2 linked regions of the Tamandua tetradactyla genome follow. The protein of the gene in region 1 purifies or fractionates together with the protein of each later gene. This does not show direct contact. Links are inferred from orthologs where the notes say so. Each region holds a gene or a part of one and is shown on either strand. Other genes may lie near its edges.

Evidence for each region.
Region 2: the proteins of MAP4K1 (region 1) and NUDC purify together in Homo sapiens (affinity purification with mass spectrometry; 3 studies listed by BioGRID and IntAct, with this or other methods). This does not show direct contact. The link is inferred for Tamandua tetradactyla from reciprocal best matches to the Homo sapiens genes MAP4K1 and NUDC.

The regions. Positions count from the first base shown.
Region 1 is NC_135342.1:25,377,509-25,388,352, reverse strand, and holds the start of MAP4K1 (mitogen-activated protein kinase kinase kinase kinase 1), read right to left. Parts: upstream 6,341-10,844; 5' UTR 6,209-6,340; coding exon 6,126-6,208; intron 5,352-6,125; exon of another isoform or gene 5,217-5,351; coding exon of another isoform or gene 5,185-5,216; coding exon 5,118-5,184; intron 4,939-5,117; coding exon 4,881-4,938; intron 4,761-4,880; coding exon 4,670-4,760; intron 3,892-4,669; coding exon 3,827-3,891; intron 2,487-3,826; coding exon 2,431-2,486; intron 2,336-2,430; coding exon 2,288-2,335; intron 2,154-2,287; coding exon 2,111-2,153; intron 2,029-2,110; coding exon 1,956-2,028; intron 1,488-1,955; coding exon of another isoform or gene 1,473-1,487; coding exon 1,341-1,472; intron 928-1,340; coding exon 865-927; intron 767-864; coding exon 685-766; intron 121-684; coding exon 4-120; intron 1-3. Other genes in the region: EIF3K (eukaryotic translation initiation factor 3 subunit K), read left to right, coding at 6,589-6,647, 8,314-8,412. UniProt on the Homo sapiens protein: Serine/threonine-protein kinase, which plays a role in the response to environmental stress. Appears to act upstream of the JUN N-terminal pathway.
Region 2 is NC_135328.1:199,316,319-199,327,162, forward strand, and holds the start of NUDC (nuclear migration protein nudC), read right to left. Parts: upstream 5,504-10,844; 5' UTR 5,326-5,503; coding exon 5,245-5,325; intron 3,268-5,244; exon of another isoform or gene 3,084-3,267; intron 2,976-3,083; coding exon 2,898-2,975; intron 1,147-2,897; exon of another isoform or gene 691-1,146; intron 1-690. UniProt on the Homo sapiens protein: Plays a role in neurogenesis and neuronal migration. Necessary for correct formation of mitotic spindles and chromosome separation during mitosis. Necessary for cytokinesis and cell proliferation.

The sequences.
Region 1 (10,844 bases):
CACCTCAGGCTCCTCATCCTCAACCTCGCCAACCGGGGGTCCCTTCCCTGGATTCTTCAGTTTGTCCAGAAGGTCTAGGATCAGGGCCCTGCTCAGCCCAGGCTGGGACACCAGCTGGTGCTGGGGAAGGGGAGGAGGGAGTCAGCAGTCGGGGACTGGGTGGAGGGAGAGGGTGGGATGTTTCTTGAGAACTAGTCTAAGGGAATCTGGTTAGGGGAAGGGGCCGATTGAAGAAGAGAGCAGGGAAGTCCAGGGAATTTTGAGACCTGTGGGGATCTGGAGTAGTTTTAAGGGCCTAGAAGAATTTAGGGTTCTTGGGGGGGGGGGCGTTGCTTAGAGAACTCCAGCGATATCTCAGAGTACATTGGGGTTCCCTTGGAATTGAGGGTCAGGGTTGGACGGGGTCTCTGGGGCCCGAGGTCCTCTTGAGTGGCTCTTGAGGCCCTCGGAAACTTGTGAGTTCTGGCAATTCAGGAGAGCTGGGGAAGGTCTAGTTTGGGGTACAAGTTGGGGGTTTTAGGGAGATCCTGGAAAATTCTTGGGGGACGGTGTGGTTAGGGACTTTAAAAGGCCACAGAGGCTCTGTGGAACTAAATTATCGTAGTTCTAGGGAGTTGTGGAAGGCCCCAGGGAATTCTGGGGTAACAAGAGGGTTGGGGGGATTTCTCTGAGAGGGAGGTTTACACTGAGCATCTTGGTGGCACCGGGCCGCTTCTTGGGGCTCTTAGTGAGGGTGACTTTGACAAAGTTGTGGAAGGCAGCTGACCTGGAACGGAAGAAGCCAGTTCTAGGGTTACTGAGACCTCCCCATCAGCCCCCCACCCAGGCTTTGCCCTCTCCCTACCCCCACCCCTCTCTGCTCACCATTTGCCCTTTTCCTTTAGCCGGGGGGGCTGGTAGCCACTCTTGGTCATGAGGAAGAGAACTCTAGAAGAGAAGGGAGAGAACATGGGGTTCAGAGCCCCACTTCAGGGTCAGACCTCATGGCTGGAGGGGTTCCCAGGCTCCCCAGGAGGTCTACAGCCCTGACGTTACCAGAGACCAAAGTGCGGGGCAGGGTGGGGAGGGAGGATGAGGCTCGGGTGTTGTCCCCGCAAAGATGCCACCCCTGGGGGCACATTTATCACATTTCAAACAGACGCAGAGGCAGAGGGAGACTCAGGATGGGGGTTCCTGGTGTGGAGGGCTGAACATAAGGTTTTCTGGGTTGGGGAATTCTTAAGGGTCTCATATGGGCTCTGAGTAAGGGGGTCCCCTAAAGAGAGATCTTGATGTGGGGAAGCAAGCTGGGGAGTCCACAGGATCAGGGCCGGGCGCATCTCTGGGGCCCGGAGTCCTACCGGAGAGGGTGCACGTCAAACAGCGGTGGCTGCAGCTCAGCCAGCTCGATGGCTGTGATGCCCAGGGACCAGATGTCACACAGCTCATTGTATCCTCCCTTCAGGGCCACGGCTGCCACTTCTGGAGCCATCCTGGGGGCAGAGACCCTTAGAGAGCCAAGGGTGGCATAGGGAGGGGGTGGCAAGAGTGGGGGACAGACTCCTGGGCATGGGGAGAAGGGGGAGGAGAGACACGGAGAGGAGTAGAGAGAGCCAGATGGAGAGAGAGACATAAGGATGGAGAGGGAGATGCAGAGACAGACTGAGAGACAGAGAGGGGAAAGGCAGAAAGAGACGGAGATGGGGAGACCCAGAGATCAAGATAAAAATGAGACAAACACACTTAACCATGTATCTCCAAAATAAAAAGAGACAAGCACAGAAACAGGCAGAAAGAGGCACCAACAGACGTGGGGAAATGAAAAACTCAAGACAGAGCCAAAGATGACAGGATGTCCCACAGAGAAAGGCCAGGGGGAAAGGAGCCAGGAAAGAACTCTCCAGAGAACTAGGTGTGGGGGGGGGGGGGAGCAGCTGCTCCCCCCACCCCCCAGGGGCCTGCCAGGGAGCCCTCACCAGTAGGGCGTCCCAATGAAGGAGAGGCGTCGAGCCAGTGTCGCCCCGATCTGGGCCGAGATTCCAAAGTCAGCTGGAGGCAGAGGGAGAGACAGTGAGCTGGGGTCCCCTGCCCTCCCCCCAGGCCCCCTGCCCCCCTCACCAGCCACACTCACCCAGTCTGACCTCCCCAGCATCATTGATGAGGATATTGGCTCCCTGGAGGCAAGAGAGGGGTGAGAGACTGGCAGGGACCCTCTCCCCAGGCTCCCCTACCCGACAGCTCAACTACACCAAGCTCCCATCCCCTGGGGTCCCCATGCCCCCAATACCACCCCTCTGCCCCAGACCACCTTGATGTCTCGGTGTATCTTCTTCTGTGAGTGCAAATAGGCCAGCCCCTGGGGAGGAGGGTTGACAGGGGAGCTATGAGTACGGTATGAGGGTGGGGTGGGGAGCAGGGCCCTGCACCCACCACCCCCGGTCCTCTCCTTACCTGGAGCACTTCCCGGCAGACATAGCCGATCTGGAGTTCTGAGAGGGAGCCGGTCACTGCAGAGGCACAGGTCACCCAAGGCACAGCGTTGGGTGGGAAGCCAGGAAACCTGGATCCAGGTGTCCCCCGGCTCCAACCCACACTGGTTTGGGGAGTGAGGCGAGACAGAGAGCTGTCTAGCCACAGAGAAGCAGGAACGTGGGGAAACAGAGGCCCGGGGGAGACAGAGGAGATGGGTGCCTGGGGCCCTAAACAGACAGAGACCCTGCCATTGTGGGAGAGAACATTCCAGTGGGGAAGGGAGATAGTACATGAGAGAACCGAGCAAAATAGACCATGAGATGTTACCAAGTGGTGAGAAGCAAAACAAAGTAGGAAAGGACAACAGGAAATAAGTGTGGGGAGGGGTATGAAATTTTAGCCAGGGTGGTCAGGGACGGCCCCTCTGAGAAGATGGTATTTGGGTAACATGAGTTGCCCCACTCTGAGGAGAGTGAGAAGAGCAGGTGCAGAGGCCGGAGGCGGGAGTGGGCTGGTGGGAAAGTGGCGAGGTGGGTGGGGAGGAAAGCGGGGGGAGGAAAGGTCGGTCAGCTGGAGGGGGCCGGGATAGACTTGGGGACCCCTCCCATGAGGTCTTTGGGTAACTCTTCAGAGTTAGGTGATTGCAGGATGAGGTGAGGCAGAGATGCAGAGATGGAGAGAGACAGACAGAGGAGCAGGACAGATCCCAACTGAAGCAGAGAGAAAAAGAGATGATGAGGACACGTGGGAAACAGACATATCTAGAAAGAGAGAGACACAGAAGGGTGGAGAAGGAGGAGAAACAGACAGACAGTGAGACAGAGAAAGGTAGTCAGAGACCAGATATGACAGGCAGGCTGTGTGAGCCACTTCCTGTATGGGGGCCTCAGTTTCCCCTCCCTGAAGACTTCTGACATTTGAAGTCTTGGGCTGGAGGGAGTCAGGCATCAGAAATCCAGAGAGGTGTTCAGAGACCCACTCCACCTTCAAATTCTCCAAGAGTAAAGGGCAGCGTGAGAGAGAGAGAGATGCAGAAATTCATTCACTCATTTAACGAGTCCTTAGGCATCATCTACTCTGAGCCAGAAATGCGGAAATATTCAACCACATGGACAGAAAACTGTCTTGCTTGACAAGAAAATGCAGACACAGAGATGGGGGTAGGTGGAGAGAGGGGATCTTTGGAGGCAGAAAGATTTGGGCTGGGCTGTCAGGTCCTGGAGGGCAGGGCCCAGCCCAGAGCAGGGGGCTCAGTGTATGAACTATGGTCCAAAAAACCTATCCCAGGCAGAAGCAAACAGAGGGAGGCAGGAGGAGACCGAAGGGGTAGCCTGGAGGTACAGAGGGGGCCTGGATTCCTTCTCCCTCCTCTCACCCTGGTAGATGTCCTGGAGAGAACCAGCCCCGCAGAACTCCATGCAGATCCAGAGCTTTTGCAGCCTGCAGTGGTTCAATGACAATAATAAAATGATAATGTCAGGAACACTATTTGCAGGAGAGCCTCTAGGTCACTGTCTGTCTTATGCTAGTTCAACCAGCACACTAAGGGAACAGCAGTCATCTCTCTATCTCCCGTTGCCCGGCAGAGTGAAATTGTTCTGTCTCCATTTTACAGATAGCAAAAATGAAGAAAAAGAGAAGTGTGCTTTCAGAGTGAGCTGGACTCGAATACAGATCTTCAGAGCTCCAAACCCAGGGCACCCTCTGTTGTCCCATGCTAACCTAGGAGACAGGCAGGCATCTCAGAGGTTGGGGAGGTAGGAAGGGGAAAAGGGGCCCAGGGTGCCCCATCTGAGGGACAGTGATCATTGTTGGGGTATCTGGTATATTCATTTTTGGGTCAAGGAATTGAGGAGTTCATATTAATGAAGGAGAAAGTGAAACTCAGGGACTAAAAGGCCAGAATGATGACAGATTAGTTTGAAGAGACTCGAGTTTCAGGTTTAGTTGAAACTATGATGGGATCGTTTTGGGGACCCCTGGTCAGAAATGGGAGTTCTGAATTGGGGGTCAGAACAGGGGGTACTTTGGTCAGAAAACAGGTCTTGGGACTAGATATCAGTAGGGGTGCAGCAGTTAGAAATGGGGGTTCAGGATTGATGGTTAGGTTCTGGTGCTTGGATCAGAAATGGTAGCTCATGTTAGGTGCCCCAGTCAGAAATGAGGGTTCTGGTTTGGGGGCTGGACTGGCTCCCTAGGCAGGGCCCAGGCCCCTCACCAGAGATAGCTCCCATGGTAGGCCACGATGTTGGCATGCCGGCAAGTTTTCAAGATGAGGATTTCCTTCTGAAGGGTTGAGACATCATCGTCTGCGAGGAGGGGGAGAGAAGCAGCAGCAGCTGGAGGATGGGGCAATGGGGGAGGCCATCCTGGTGTCCCAGGAGGTGGGGGGAGGGGAGGAGGAGGGAGCTCCTGGGTCCTCATCTCACCAGGCTCCATCTTCACCATTTTCAATGCCACCAGGTCCCTCGTCACCTTGTCTCGGGCCTTGTAAGGGGAAGTTGGAAGTCATTAAGGCCCGGCTGGCCTGAGTCCTTCCTCAGCATCCCTGAGCCAAGGCCAAGGACCCATGCATACCTTTCCTTTCCCAGGCCTCCTCCCAAAGGTCACTGCTTAGAAGGTGATAGAGAAGGGAGGTGGGGGGTGGGGGGTGAAGGGCTCCTCACCTTGAAGACTTCCCCGTAGGTGCCGCCCCCCAGCCGTTGCAGCAAGTCATAGTGGTCCCGGGGGTCCCTATTAAAGATATCAGGGTCCACGAGGTCCATCCCTGGGGGCCGGAGCTGGGCCTGTGCCCAGGGGCCAGCAGGGCCTCAGGGCTGGAGTGCTGGAACCTCCCTCCCTCCCTATACACCAGCCACCAGCCTTGCATAGGCAGGCTGCGGCCTCAGGCTGCGGCCTCCCCCCTCCCCACTCTCGCTTCCTGCCCCGATGCAGGGCGGTGCAACCGGCTCCACCCCCTGTCCCTTGGGCCTTGAAAGCTGTGAGGGGCAGCTTGCCTTGGGACCCAGGGGACCCTGATCCACCCCAGGCGCCAGGGCTGGATGTAACGAAATGCAAATGATCTTTATTGCGACCGGGGGTGGGGAGGGGGGGGGCTGCTTCAGCACCTCCTCCCCCTATTTTGGGTCAGGGCCATAGCTGAAGCTCTGCTGAATGCTTGAGGGTTTGGGCACAACTTGCAGGTGGCAGATCTGCACAGGCCATGCAATGTACATGCCTGTACATTGGGAAACATACATGCACTTACGTAGTACTCGCCTGTGCTGTTCATAGACCTGCAGACGTAGTACATTCCTGTTTACCTGTGTACACAAATGTGGATGTACCCAGAGCACACGCCTCCATATTCACGCACATGGCCGGGCACTCGCACCCGTAATACGCATTCTAAACATACTTGGGGGGCTCGCCTTCTGCCCCAAGACTGGAGCCCCGTGGATAATGAACACACACACACACACACACACACACACACACACCAGGCCCCGTGGAGAATGAACACACACACACACACCCCAGCCCCCACCAGCCCAACGGGGCTCTCCCCCTGGAGCTGGGGTGGAAGGTGAGGACAGGGTTCAGGACTTCAAACTGGGGTCGGTCTCAGGGTTCTGCCTCAAGTGCCCAGGCCTCACGCATGGGCGACCTCAAAGCGTACAGCCTTTGAGAGTTACCCCAGAGGGAGAGCATCAACGTATAATCCCACAGGGTTTTGTGAATTCACCGCCACGAGCAAAACGACGAGCTCGCAAACCATCAGAGTTCCGTCTCCTTCCGGGAGAAGTACTTGAGCACAGACGCACGCGCTCCGAGACCTGGAACGCGAGGCCCGGGAAAAGCCTAGCCCCGCCTTCCCGTCCACAGAGGGCGCCTGCGCACTAGGGTAGAGTAAGCTTTTTGTCATGCTACTGGTCCAAGCGCTGGAGGAGCGAATGCGCACGCGCCATAAACGCGTGCTGAGAAGAAGTCACGTGGTAGCTGAAAAGCGTGGCGACCGCTGCAACAATCCTGAGAGGGGGCGCGGTGAAACAACAAAACGTATTTCCGCTTCCGCAACCTCTTCCGCTTCCGGCCCTTGAGGACGCTGCACGGGTTCTGACTTGGGTTCAATTGCTGGTGTGGGAAACGGCGGTAATCATGGCGATGTTTGAACAGATGAGAGCGAACGTGGGCAAGTTGCTCAAGGGTATCGACAGGTCTGAGCATGGTCGGAGGGAGCGCTTCTGGCCAGGCGGGGGGGAGGAGAGGATTTTCCAGAGACATCGAGGGGTAGTCAGGGTGCCTGGCCGGTTCTGGGGTGGTGTCTCCCCGTCAGTTTAAGTGTCTGTGTATGTGTAAGAATTCATTCTGAAGGAGGATATTTCTAAGGAAATAGCGCTGCGAAGAACCTAGAGGCAAGAGAGAACCTTGTCTATGACTCATCTCCCCCAACTTGATTGCCTTCAGGTCTCCTCGCCTTGTTCCTCAGCCTTCCCTCTCTCAGCACCCCCAGCCTCCTGTCTCTTAGCTCCTCATTCTCAGTGTCTTTCTCAATGCCTCTTAGTCTCGCTCCTCTTTCTACCTCATGTTACTTATTCAACATATGTTCACAGAAATATGTTCTGTCAGTGGAGGGCGATACTAGGGATCCAGCGGTGACCAAGAGAGCCGCTCACCCTGGGTTCATGAAGTTCCTGGTCCAGAGGCGAGCCAGAACCACAGTAGAAAGTGATCGCTGGAAATGGACAGGACTCTGATGGGGAAGCGAAGGCCAGGTTGAGTCTGATGGCTCTGATGCGGGGTAATACAGACAGGAGTGAGGGCTGGAGTGGGAAAGCACAGGCAGAGGTAGAGGATGGGATGGGGAGAACTCAGGGGGCTGTGGGAATCTGAGGTAGAGGAGACATCTGACTCCGCCTGGGTCAGGCGAGGCTTTTTAAGGTGGTGAAGTCAAAGTTAAGACCTGGAAAATGAGTGGAAGTAAAGTAAATGAAGAGGGATAGGGAAAGACTAGAGCCAGATAAGAGTGGGAAGAATGATGTTCCAGGTGGAGGAAACATGTCAAAGACTCTGAGATGAGATGAGCTTAGTGATTTTAGGAGTTGAAAGACTTTTTTTTTTTAATATATGTTGTATGGCTGGGTCACACTTCGTTATTTTTCCATGTGAATATCCCATTATTGCAGCACCCTTTGTTGAATTTTTGTTTGCTTATTTTTTTGATTGTTTATTATGCTTGTTTTTGGAAAGTGCATGGGCCAGGAATCAAACCCGGGTCTCCCACATGTCAGGCGAAAATTACACCATTGAACTATCCTTGCACTCTCAAAAGCCATTCATTTATTACAGTTAGGCTAAAATGTGGAGTGAGAGTCAGAAGTGGTGAAAGATGGAACCAACTACATTGCAAGGGCCCAGATCATGGAGGGAAAACATGGGGACCATAGAATGACTTTATGTAGATGAACCTGGTCGTATCTGTGCTTTAGAAAAATCCCTCTGGCTGTTGTATGGAGAATGGAGTCAGGGTTGAATCTGGGGAAAGGTGTAAGACTAGGTAGGAAAGGATGGAGCTGGAGCAGAGTAAGTGGGATTCTGAGAAGGGAAGGAAAGGGTGGGTAATAGAGATGTTTGGGAGGCCAAACACACAGACTGCAGGGACTGATGGGCTGAGGGGGGGTGGCGATGGGGCATCCAGGGATCCGTTGGGATCTGGAGCATAGCAGAAAGTCTGAGCTAGATTTTACTAGAGGTTATAATGCTAATTCAACATTGGAGTGTGCCAGGTGCTCAGTGCCAGATTTAGAAGGAAGGACTAAAGGGCCCCATAAAGTGGCTTCAGCTCTGTCTCCTTATTACTCACCTATTTTCTTCCTCTTTTAGATACAATCCTGAGAATCTGGCCACTCTGGAGCGCTATGTAGAGACGCAGGCCAAGGAAAATGCTTATGATCTGGAAGCCAACCTAGCTGTCCTGAAGCTGTGAGTATCTGCCCCCACTGCCACTCCTGTGCCAGCAGAACGGTACCACCCCCAAAACAGGGTAGGGCTGAGAGGGTTAACCTGTAAGATATGGCTTTTCTTGGTTTGCAAGACTAGGAAGCTACAGAAGTTGGAGGGGGGTTGGTGGGGTGGGGGGGGTACTTATAAAACATTAATTGCAAAACACATTACAAGATAGTATGTAAAATAAATATACAGTTTAACAAATAAAAGCAAATACCCATGTAATCAATCATATTGCAAAATCAAGTGCTGCCAGTGCCCTCAGAGCCCATGTGCTCTATACCAGCCAAACCCCTACCCCGATTTTGGTAACTACTCACATGGCCTGGTTTTCTGTGATAGTTGACTGCATATGCATGTATCCTGATCAATTTAGCTTAGTTTTCCCTGCTTTGAACTTAACATAAATAGAATTCTGCAGCATGATGTGTCTGCCATCTTCTGCTCAAAACTGGGATTGTGAGAACCATCCTTTTTTTGTGTGTGTGGTGTATGTGACTGCTGTTTGTTAATTATCATTGCTGGATAATACTCCACTGTGTGACTCTGTCCTGCTTATCTGTTCTCTTATTGATGGACATTTCAGTTCTTCCCTCTTGGGAGCTTTCTTGACATACTACCAGCTGTGTAATTGTTTTTTTAATTGATAAATCTTCACACACACATGGTTATTCATGGTATACAATCAGTTGCTTACAATATCATCACGTAGTTGTGTATTCATCACCATGATCATTTTCAGAACATTTGTATCACTCCAGAAAAAGAAATTGGAAAAAAGACCTCCCTCTCATTAACCACCAATATTTCCATCTACTCACTTTATTTTACTCCTTATCTGCCATTAATGCATATTTTTTTTACTCATCTGTTCATACCCTGGATTAAAGAAGCATCAGACACGAGATTTACACAGTCACAGTCACATTGTTAATCTTACATCTTTATACAGTTGCCTTGGAGAATTGAGGCTACTAGAACACAGCTCAACAGTTTCAGTTACTTCCCTCCAGCCACTCCAATATACCATAAACTAAAAAGGGATATCTGTCTAATGCATAAGAATAACCTCCAGGTAATCTCTTGATTCTGTTTGCACTCTCTCAGCCACTGAAACTTTATTGTGTCTCATTGCTCTCTTCCCCCTTTTGATCAAGGAGACTTTCTTAATCCCATGATGCTGGGTCCCAGCAAATTCCAAGAGTTCTGTCTCAGTTGCCAGGGAGATTTACACCCCTGGGAGTCCCATGTAGAGGGGGTGAACAGTGAACTCACCTGCTGACTTGCCTTAGAAAGAGAGGCCACATCTGAGCAACAAAAGAGGTTCTCTGGGGATAAATCTTGGCATAATTTTAAGTAGGCTTACCCTATCCTTTGCAGGAATAAGTTTCGTAGGGCAAACCCCAAGATCGAGCACAACAGCCTGTTGATTTGCTTGTCCCTGCTGCTTGTGAGAATATCAGGAATTCTCCAAATGGGGAAGTTGAATATTTTGTCCTTTCTCCCCAATTCCCAAGGGGACTTTGCAAATACCTCTTTATTCACTGCCCATATTAGTCTGGAATATATCGGGGCATCCCACTAGCCTGGATCAACCAACACGATCTCATGCCCTATTCAATATTCACATACTTACGGTGTTCCACTAAACTGACCGTACAAGTTAAATTATGTAATGTGCTACCCAAAATATAAATTTTGCACCAACTAAACATCTCTCCCTTTGGTCCTACACAGAAGTTGAAGTTTTAAAATATGGACGATATCATCCTTTACCCTGTATGTATTCTAATCTACTCCATTCCTATGCATATCAGTTTCATGCATATTTGTATTCGAAATCTGATCCCTTTTTCAGCTTTTTGAACAGGTCCTGTATGGGGTAGTGCTGATTTTCATAGCTTCAGAGCTCTAACTCTTAAGTCTCAGGTGTCACATAAATACCCAAAGTTTCTGGAAACAACCAGGTTATATATAAATAGCTCATTATCTCAGAATTTAGAGTAGCAGTTACAACTCCTAAATATATGTGACTGCTGTAAGAGCTTGCAGTCTAGGACCTTTTACAATAGGCCCTGATAACCCATGCTCTTGACTTCAGTTCACCGAGTTTTTTATATTATAATTAGTTCATACGAGTGAGGCATGATAATATTTGCCTTTTTGTTTCTGACATTTCATTCAACATATAGTCCTTAAGGTTCATTCACCTATTTGCATGCCTCACAACTTCATTCATTCCTTGTGGCCACTCAGTAGTCTATTTTATGTACACATCACAGTTCCCTCTTCCATTCCTCAGTTGTTGTACCATTAGGCCACCTCCGTCCATTGTGAATTGTGAACACTGCCGCCATAAACACCAGTGTGCAAATGTCCATTTGTGTCCCCACACTCGGTTCCTCCAG
Region 2 (10,844 bases), on another chromosome or scaffold:
TCCATTTGCCTCTTCCTTTGTGAATACCATATTTATTTGAATCATCGTGGTTTTACTCAAATCCAGTATTGCTTATCCATAATTCCTAACTCCAAAAGTAATAAAAACTAAAAATTTTTGTAAATTTGTGGCACAACACCACTTAGTCTTCATAACTACCATCTGGTATGAATACTGATATACATTTCTCTGCAGAAATATTAATATGTTTGATTACAAGGTGCCCCTCCTGACCTCTGGTCTGGGGTACTGCACATACACTGTACTACCTTCCTAAAATCCACAGAATTCCTAATCCCAACCACATCTAGCCCCAAGTGGCTCAGATAAGGGACTGTGGCCTTCTATTTTCATGTGCACATCTATTTTCAGTAGCGCCAGCCACTACTATATTACTTCTTTTTATCCTAACAACAGCCCTGTGAGGTAAGGATTAGCCCCCCTTAAAAGTAAGGAAAATGAGGTTCAGAGAGATAAGATTCACCCAAGGCCACACAGTTATAAATGAACAGACCTAGGATTCAAATTTATATCTGCCTGACTCCAAATCGTATATTTAACCACTGTAATTGAAAAGAATGTATCTGACTGCACTTGCATATGGTAGTTGCTCAACACAAAGGAGTTATTGTTACATTAGAGACAAGCGGGAAGGTTGGACAGATTTCTGCCCACCTGAGACTTTGACAAATGTCCTGGGCTGACCTAAGGGAACAAAGAATCAAGGAGTTGCACTGTGCCTTTGGCAGCAACGGCGGCACCTATCAAGCCCAAATTATGCGGACCCTTCTGTGGGGAGATCATTACAGACACCGCCCCTGCTCCTTGGTAACCACACGCAACCAAGAGGCTCTGATCAAAGATGTGGACATGTTGGAGTAAATCCAACAGGACCTGGAGCATGCAACTCAGGGGCTGGAGAAATACAACACAAAGAACACTGTGGCCCAGATCAAGGAGGAGTTTGACAAGTATAACCTCAGTGGCACTGCATCATGGGGGGGAATCTTCGGTAGTCATGTGACACATGAAACCAAGCACTTCATCTACTTCTACCTCGGCCAAGTGGCCATTCTTCTGTTTAAGCTTGGTCAAAGCATGGCCTGTGCCACCCACCCAAGGATCCATACAAAACAAAGACAGTAGCCCAAAGTCCAAATGCCAGAGACTGAAATTCTCAGCCTTCTAAGAGAAGACCTTGATCTCTAGAACTTCTTGTGTTTTTCTGTATGGGGCCTTCTCTGTATTAGTTTGTTGTGGTTATAAAACAATTAGCAAAACAGCTTATGCATGTTACTTACTTTCTATTCCATACTTCTCCCTGCCCTATGTTTTTTTATTTCAAAATCTGTTCCTTTTAAACAAAATAAATCTATTGGAGATGGGGGAGGAGAACCAAAGAACATGACAATGTCCAAGAAGGGACAAGTAGACATTCAATATAGAGTAGCTATCCTCATCCTCATGGTATTTCTGAGATACCAGTGTTGTTCCTTTTATTTTTATTGTGGTAATGTACATATATGACATTTTCCATTTTAAGCATACAATTCAGAGGTGTTGATTACATTCACACTGTTGTGTGACCATCACCACCATCTAGAGATACTGCTTCTTAATATTTTCAAAAGTTCATCTCTCCCTCTTTGTCCATCTACCTCTTACTCATCCTTCTTATCTCAAATACCATTTTCTCAGGAAGTCTTCTCTGAACCCCCAACCTAGGTTAGTCCCTGTTTTCTGCTCCCAGGGCTCCTGCCCTAACACCCAGCACTTCTTCATTCTCTATTTTTCTCAACTCCCCTGACAGATCCAGGAAGACAGAGACCATGCCTTTTCTCACTTTTGTAACCCCCAAGGGCTCTGTATAGTTACCGAACAGAGCAAAGGATTGAGTTCAAAAATTTTTGCTCAATGAGTGACTGAATGACTGCCAATAACACAAGGTAGTCAGTCCTATAGAAAATTCAGCAGAACTTGTGCTAATACAGAAGAAATACTGAACCAGAAGGCATCCTGCAGGTCAGTGAGTCCATCTTCCATTTTACAGACGTGAAAAATTGAAAGGACCATAGAGTTGGTGGGAACTCAGCCAGGGTATACAGACCAAGAACCAGAGACCCCTAGTCCCCAGGCCCACATATCTACAGCAAAGTAGCCTCAGATCTTCAAACACATTATAGAACATCACCTTATTAGAGGACTTATGCCACAGAAAAGCTCTTTATAAAATGTCTCCTTGTTACTGTCTGAAGCTTAAATGAAAACAAATATTTAAGTTATAAAATCATAGTTCAGTGATTTTATATGATGTATCAATTTTCAAAAGATGTAATTATAATGAAATACACCCCTAGGAATCAGAAGACAATTCAGTATCAGGGGAGAGAGGTTCAGATCCAGTATAGCAAACCTCAAGTCACAAACCCTTGAGCTTTGGGTCACAGCATCTAGACCAGTTGGGATTGGTTGACTTTGAATTCTCGTCTTCTAAGCCTCAATTTCTAACATCCTCTGATTATAATTAGTTAAACCTCTTCAATGAAAAAGGAACAAAGAATAATGCCAGTGACAGAAGGCGTATTTTAGAGTAGACTCTAGTCCCAACCCCAGTTCTCCCACAACTCAGTTCAAGACCTGGGATAAGTTGCAAAACATCCATGAACCAATGTCCTCATGTGTAAAATGGGGGTAGTAACACCTGCCTCTCTTGTAGAATAGATACAGCAGCTGACAAATTGTAGGGCTGCAATAAACGACAGCTTGCTTCCCTTCCCCTATTCCCTGGCCTTGGTGTTTTGCTTCTGCTGAAGGTTACTATTATGCCAAAAGAAAGCCAGGTAAGCTTTTCTCAAGAGATAGAGCTACCCAAAGAAGAGCGGGCCCCCAACACATACCTTCTCAGCCATTCCCTCTTCTCCTCCAATGAAGAAGTCTGTTTTACGTCGTAGGAAGCTGAAGAAGGTATTGACAAGCTGAAAGACAGAAGACTGAATTTGTGGGGCATGTCATATTGGGAATCCTCCACTGCACAAGAACCAACTTCCTAAGTTCAAGAGAACTTGGGACTTAACTATTCTCACCTGAGTCTTCCACAGGCCTCCTTAGTCACTCCTGCCAGGAAGCCAAACCTAACCTTAGCCAAACCACTTGGAAAGTGGATTTCTCATATCTTGTGTATATACGTGCTCATGGTTCCATACTTCTTGTGGTGTTAGAAGTAGCCTGAGGATGTAGAACATTCAAACCTCTGCACCCAGGGCTTAAAATACTCTTAAAAGGAAAAAAAGCTATCCAGAGTGGCACTGGTTGAGCTAGCAGGGCAGCCAGAAAGAGGGGAGGAAAGGAAGCCACCTTAAAGAAGGGCAAGACCAAATAACTCTGGCTAAGGTACCATTGTAGCCAAGTGGTTAAGAGCATGTGTTTGAGTGTCAAACTGATTATTTATTAGCTGTGAACTTGGGGAAGTGTCTTAACTCTGTAAAGCAGGAATAGTAGCAAGATCTATTTCAAAGGACCCTGTGAAAATCAAACAAGGTAATGGAGGGAAGGCCCTTTGCAGTGTTCAGCACAGAACAACAGGCCACTACCAGAGCATGGACTCCTCGCAAGCCGGAGTCAGGTGCCATAGCTTATTCTCACTCCTTCCCCAATGCCTGGCACATGCAGCTCAGAGTCCATGCTCAGTACAGTTCTTGATTAATGAATAGAGCTAGTAGTGACCTAATGTTAGCATATCCAAGTGCTATTATTTGCCCATATAGTTCTAAATCTGATGCTAGAATTTATCTCAACGATACAATTCCTGCTTCTGGATACTTTTCCAATCCACTGAAAACTGAACTCAATCCTAAATCTCATTTTGTCTCAAAGATTTAGGGGAAGGTAGAGGGCAGAAAGACATTTTACACTTGCAAATTAGTTATACCCTCTCTACTTCCCAGGGCTCGGGAACCCTTGCACACCATGGACACCTGAGGGAAATAATTGAAATGGACAGCACAGTGAAAACCTGCGCACAATGATAAGCAGAATAAGCAAAGGATTGTGAAAAGCACACTGGCCTAAGGAGTTTGGTCCAGGCTAGGTCAGAGCCGAAGGGATGATCTCAGCCAAGTCCTCACCCCTCTCTGGGCCTTAGTTTCATAAACAGAATGACTGCTCTGGACTGATCTTGACAGGCTTTCCTATTTCTCACTTTCTGTTTCTGTTTCAAAACACAAACTCCAAAATCTACACTACGTGCCCTTAAAGTTCATGGACTGATCACTCAGCATGAATCATGCTTTTGGAAAAGCACTTTGCTATCTCCATCGGGGACAAGGAGGTTTCTGCTCAAGTCTGTATCCCCAAGACCCAGCCCAGGGAGTGTCTGGCACACTTCAATCACTCAACAAATGCTGGCTGAACTAACAAGCCTGATCACTGAAAACTCTCCACTGTCCTTCCTCAAGATACCACTTCTCTACAATGATTCAGGAAAACAGGGATTCATAGAGCCCCTTCTCAGAAATAAGGAAACTGATGCTTGAGGAGGGGTGGAACGGTCCCAAGCTGGTGGGTGGTGGAAACCAATTGTGAGCACAGGCCTCCTATTCTCCCATTCAAGACCTTTTTAAAAAGGCCACGTGCTAACACACCCTCCACCCCCAACAAACACCCCACAGACTCTAGTCCGCTCACTGCAAATCTTGGTAGATGCAAATCACAATGCCTAACAAAGTTTATCCTAAGGAATGCTCTTCGGGGGCGGCCATCAATGGGAGCACCGGACTGGAACCATGTGGGAAATCAAAAGGGAAAACCCAAGACTCTGGGTATGGGTTTCAACGGGCACAATGAAAACAGAATAAGTAAAGTATTGTGAAAAGCACACTGGCCTAAGGAGCTTGGTTCAGGCTAGGTCAGAGCCTAAAGGATGATCTCAGGTAAGTCCCCACCCCTCTCTGGGCCTCGGTTTCATAAACTGAATGATTTGTTCTGGACGCCGAAGTGGCAGCGATAGGAGCGAGAAAGGCGCCCGGGGGCCGGAACTGATATGAAAAGACAGGGACACGCCGGCTGAGAGTCCAGACCGGAAGCTGGAGCGCGGGGAGAAAGTGGGGGACTCGCGGAAGCCCGCGAGCCCCAGGGGTGGATCTCGGTCCTCGAAGGCAAAGAAGGGAAGAGGGAGCGTGATAAGAGCCGCCCGGAGAGGCAGGCCACGCTGAAGCCGGCTGGGCCGACGCCGCGCGGGGCCGTTACCTCCTGCACGCCGCCCTCGTGCTGCTGAGCCATGGCCAGCAACATGCCGTCGAACCGTTCCTCTTCCTGGTCCCCACCCATCGCGCCGGCCTCTATCCGTTCCCCGAACTCCGCACTCGCGCCCCAAGCGCTCCTCGCTCCTTTGGTCGCGTCGGGCCAACGGCTCGCGTCCTTCGCTTTCCGCAGCGGAGCCGGAAACACGCACGTGAGCCCGCGGCCCGAGCCCGCCTTCTTCTCTTCCTCTCCCGCCTCTGGCCCAGGCGGTGGCCATTGGCCGCGCGGCAAACATCCCGTTTCACAGTCCATTGGCCGTGGATTGCTCAGCCAATCAACGAGGCGTCCATGAAGCGGTGGGCGGAGCCGAAGGCCTAGGAGTTTGGCGTCAGTTGCTATGGTCACCAAATGCTTTGGAGCCTTCCAGAAAGCACAGGGCTCAAATCTGGCGGGATTGGAAATTGGAAAGGAAGAAACTTTGCTTTTCTGTTTTGTAGAACGGTGGAGCTGAAAATACACTTAGTCATCTTTTCCAATACTTACAGGAGGCAACTGAGGCCCAGAACGTAGAAGGGTCTTACCCGAAGGACCGCCCCACCCCCACCCCTCACAGTCACCATCACAGACTCAACGAGAACCGGCTTCTTGCCATTCAAACTCTGCAGCTACACAGGCCCCAGGCTTGAAGAGCCCTCTATGCTTGGTTTACTACTCCGCTGTCGCAGTCTTGAAATTCTTAATAATTTTTGAACAATGAGCCTCATATTTTCATTTCACACTAGGCGGCACTGATAGTGTAACTTTCCCTGTTCTCAGCCTTCACTCTGTCAATGTGGGAACAGATCCTGGCCATCTAAGGTGGCTCTCTCTACTCTATTTAAACAATGAATTTTATCATCTTAGTGTTTTTAGGGACTCTACACTATGCAGTTTTCCCTTTTGTATCTCCTGCATCACAAATTTCTTCCTTCTGGATCATTCCTATCTACTTACAAATATGGTATAATAGTAATTAAAAAACAAAATCCATGAGTTCACTTTTCTCCTCCTGCTCCGATTTTTAGTGCTCATTCTATAGCACAATTCTATGCTTGTTTCTCCACTTTCCACCTCTCATCTTGCCTCAACTTATTCTAATTGGTCTTTTCTTAAACAGCTCTGATCAAATTACAATGACCTACATATTACCAAAGCCAATGGACCGCTGTTATCTTATGCAACTTTTCAGCTGCAACTGCTGCAGTTGACCCCTTCTTCCTTCTGGAAACACTTTTTTTCTTTAGGCTTCTGTGTCACCATTTAACTGGTTTTCTTCCCAACTTATTAACATTTCTCAGTGTCCTGTGCGTCACAGACTTGTAAAATGTTGGAGGTTCTATCCCCTGCTTTTTCCTCTTTTCCTCTCTAGCCACACTCTCTCCTTAGGTGATCTCATTGACTCCAGTGGTTGTCCTGATGATGTCCAAATCGATATCTGTGGCCCTGACCTTTCCTGAGCTCCAGGCTCATCTATCTAACTGCCTCCTGGACAGCTCCACTTAAATAGTAGACATCTGAAAAGTAACATGGCGGACTTGGAACACCCCCTCCCCAACTACTTCCTCCCAAAGTCTTCCTGATTGAGTTAAATGGCTCTTTCAAACTCCCATTTGCCAAAGCCAAAATCTCCATTCATTCACACATTTGTCCAAGCCCAATTCTAGTTTCATCTAATCCATTAGTAAATTCTGTCAGCTCTCCCTCCAAAATATATCCTGATTCTGATCCCTTTTGATCATCTATGCTGCTACCACTCCAGTCGTTGCTTTGACAACCACTCCTACAGTTTCCTAACTGGGCTCCTTACTTCCTTTCTTGTCCTTTTATAGTCCACTCTCCACCCAGTAGCCAGATCAATCCTTCTAAAATGTAAGCCAGATTTTGTTACTTCCTTCTTAAAACCAGCCCTTTGGTGGAACTGCCATTGCATTCAGGATAAATTCCAAACTCCCAACTGTGGCCTCATCAGGGACTTGGCCACCTCTCCAGTCTTATTACATCCTGCTTCCTTCTTCATTCACCCGGCTCCCTCTTCACTGGCTTCCTTCACTTCTTCTAATTCCTTGCCCTAGGTTCTAGACCTTTTCTGGCCAACTCCTTTTCATTCATCAGGTCTCAGCCCAAGTGCCACTTCATCTATGAGGCCTTTACTGACCATTATGTACAGATTAAATCTTTATAGCTTTTACTTTCAAAATGTCCTCTGCTATGTGGCCTCTCTCTCCAGCCAACACAACAAGCAAACTCACTGCCCTCCCTCTGTCTATGTGGGACATGACTCCCAGGGATGTGGACCTTCCTGGCAACGTGGGACAGAAATCCTAGAATGAGCTGAGACTCAGCATCAAGGGATTGAGAAAACCTTCTCAACCAAAAGGGGGAAAGAGAGAAATGAGACAAAATTAAGTGTCAATGGCTGAGAGATTCCAAACAGAGTTGAGAGGTTATCCTGGAGGTTATTCTTACGCATTAAATAGATGTCACCTTGTTAGTCAAGAGGTAATGGAGAGGCTGGAGGGAACTGCCTGAAAATGCAGAGCTGTGTTCCAGTAGCTATGTTTCTTGACGATGATTGTATAATGATATAGCTTTCACAAAGTGACTGTGTAATTGTGAAAACCTTGTGTCTGATGCTCCTTTTATCTACCTTATCAACAGACAAGTAAAGCATATGGAATAAAAATAATTAGGGAGAACAGATGTTAAAATAAATTTAGTAACTTGAAATGCTAGTGATCAATGAAAGGGAGGGATAAGGGGTATGATATGTATGAATTTTTTTCTGTTGTCTTTTTATTTCTTTTTCTGTATTGATGCAGATGTTCTAAGAAATGATCATGATGATGAATATGCAACTATGTGATGATATTGTGAATTACTGATTATATATGTAGAACGGAATGATCATATGTTAAGAATGTTTGTTTTTTGTTATATATATTTTTTAAAGAATGTTTTTGTTTGTTAGGTGTTATATTTTTTAAAAAAAATTAATTTAAAAAGGGGGAAAAATGTCCTCTGCTTGTCCTTTGTAATTACTTATTATAATTTGAAATTTATGATCAAGAAATTGTGGTTCTACACCAAGATCCAGTAATCTTCTCTTGCTGGAATATAAGCTCTATGAAAGCACGTGTCTGATTTTTCACTATATTCTGAGCATTCATCTCAGAGCCTCAAACATTGTAAAAACCTCAATAAATACCTGGGAAATGAACAAATGGTCTTTGCCTGATACCTTTGAATCTCATTATAAATTTATCAATAAATATTGGTAGAATTTACTGACTTCTCACTGTGTCCAGTACTTGACTGAGCACTTTAAAAATATTATTTGACTTAACCTATACAGTGTTCCTATGATGTAAATGCTGATATCCCCATTTGGGGAGTGAGAAAACAGGGACAGAGAAGTGAAGTCACATGCTGAAGTTTGCACAGCTGGAAGGGCAGAGGCAGGATTCAAACCCAAGCAATCTTGCCCAACAGCCCACACACTTACCCACTTCATCTTAGAATTCTACCTCCCTGAATTGACATTCTGATTTTGTAAATCAGTCCTGGATGTTTGTTTGATGAGAAACCAAGACCTGAAATTAGACCCTGGTAAGTTCACCGAGATAATAAATATTGTCCAGGAAGGCCCCTTGGTGACTAGTCAGCCTCCCCTAATGCCTTCTGACCCCATCCACATTTGGTAATGAGTGACGGCACTATGTGCTAAGTGCTTCATTAGATGTGGACTAGGTGACCTTGGAACTCAGGGAGGGAGCAATTTATTCTACTGAAGAGGTGGAGAGGGAAAGACCAGAAGGCTGTGCTTAAGTGGTAACATTGGAGCTAGACCAGGAGCTTACCAAGCAAACAGGCATCCCAGGCAGTGGGTGACCATGAGCAAAAGCTTTGAGGCATGGATGTGTATGACACCTCCAGGAAATGAAAAGGTGCCCAGTGCTGGCTTGCATACTCCCAATCCTTAACCCCGCTGACTGCAATCTGGGATTTTCCAGCTGCCCCCTGGACCAGTCCAAGACTTCTGCACACAAGAGTAACCGTATGCACCCTGGTCATGGGATTGTAAAGCAATTTCAAATACATTATCTCATTGGATGCTCTTTAATCTTACAGTTAATGTCCCGTCCAGTACCTGGCACATGGTAGATGATCAAAGTGACAGCTATTATTATTGTTAATGGCAACGATTGAGGTTTCTACTTGAATAGTAGCATTGGCCTCCCATTGCTGCCTGAAAATTAACTGAGATAACCGTTGTCAAGTACTTTGTAAACTGTGAAGTGCTATACAGATGGGAGCCTATCCTTTCTAGTTCAAGCTCTGCCCACTCCATTTTAGCATTCACTTCCACCACTGATGTGGATGTCCTGGCTCCCCTATTAGACTTGAAGCTACTAAAAGCAGGTCTGTGTCTCTAGATCTTAGATTTCCTGAAGGTTGATGCCTAAACTAACTACCACACTATATAACCATGAAAATCAGAAAATTAACATTAAATATTTTACCATCTAATCTCAGACCCCATTTAAGTTTCACCAAATGTTCCAGTGAAATTTGTAGTAGTGAAAGGACTCAGTCTAAAGTCTCTCCTGACATTTACTGTCATGTCTCTTTAGTCTGTCAGTCTGGAACAGTTCCTTGACCTTTCCTTGCCTTTCACAACCTTGAAACTTTGAAGAGTTGTAGTTATTTTGTGGCATGTCACCCAAGTTGAGTTTGTCTGACGTTTCCTTGTGATGAGACTCAGGCTATGAACCTTTATCAGAAATATCACAGAAGTGATGCTGTATTCTTGGTACATCCTATCAGGTAGTGCACAATTTCCATTTGTCCTGTAGTTTATTTTGGCCACTTGATTAAGGTGGTATCTGCTAGGTTATCCTTCCCCCTTTGTGATGAATGAGTATTCTAAAACCCTCCTCATACTTTCCATGTATGGTTTGAAACTATTATGTATCCCAGAAAAGCCATGGTCTTCTAATCCATTCTTGTGGCTGCAGACCTATTGTTGGGTGGGGTCTTTTGAGTAGGTTGTTTCCATGGAGATATGACCCACTCAATCCAAGATGGGTCTTAATCTTTTTTTTTTTTTTTTTTTTTTTTTTTTTTTAAAGACAGAGAAGGAAGGAAGGATGGAAGGAAGGAAGGGAGGAAGAAAGGGAAACATCTTTAAACATTTTCTTATTTTATTATATTTTGTTTGTTTGTTTGTTTTTTACATGGGCTGGGGCCGGGAATCGAACCGGGGTCCTCCGGCATGGCAGGCAAGCACTCTTGCCCGCTGAGCCACCGCGGCCCGCCCGGGTCTTAATCTTTTATAGGAATCCTTCAAGAGCTCATAGGGAGAGAGAAAGCTTAGATAGAAATGCCCTGGAAGAAACAAGCAAGGACTGGCAGAAGCCAGCAGAAGTCGTCATGTGCCTTCCCATGTGACAGAAGAATCTCAGTTGCCATCGGCCTTTTTTCAGTGAAGGTGTTCTCTTGTTGATGCCTTACTTTGGACATTTCCATGGCCTTAGAATATAACTTGTAACTTTATAAATCCCTTTTGC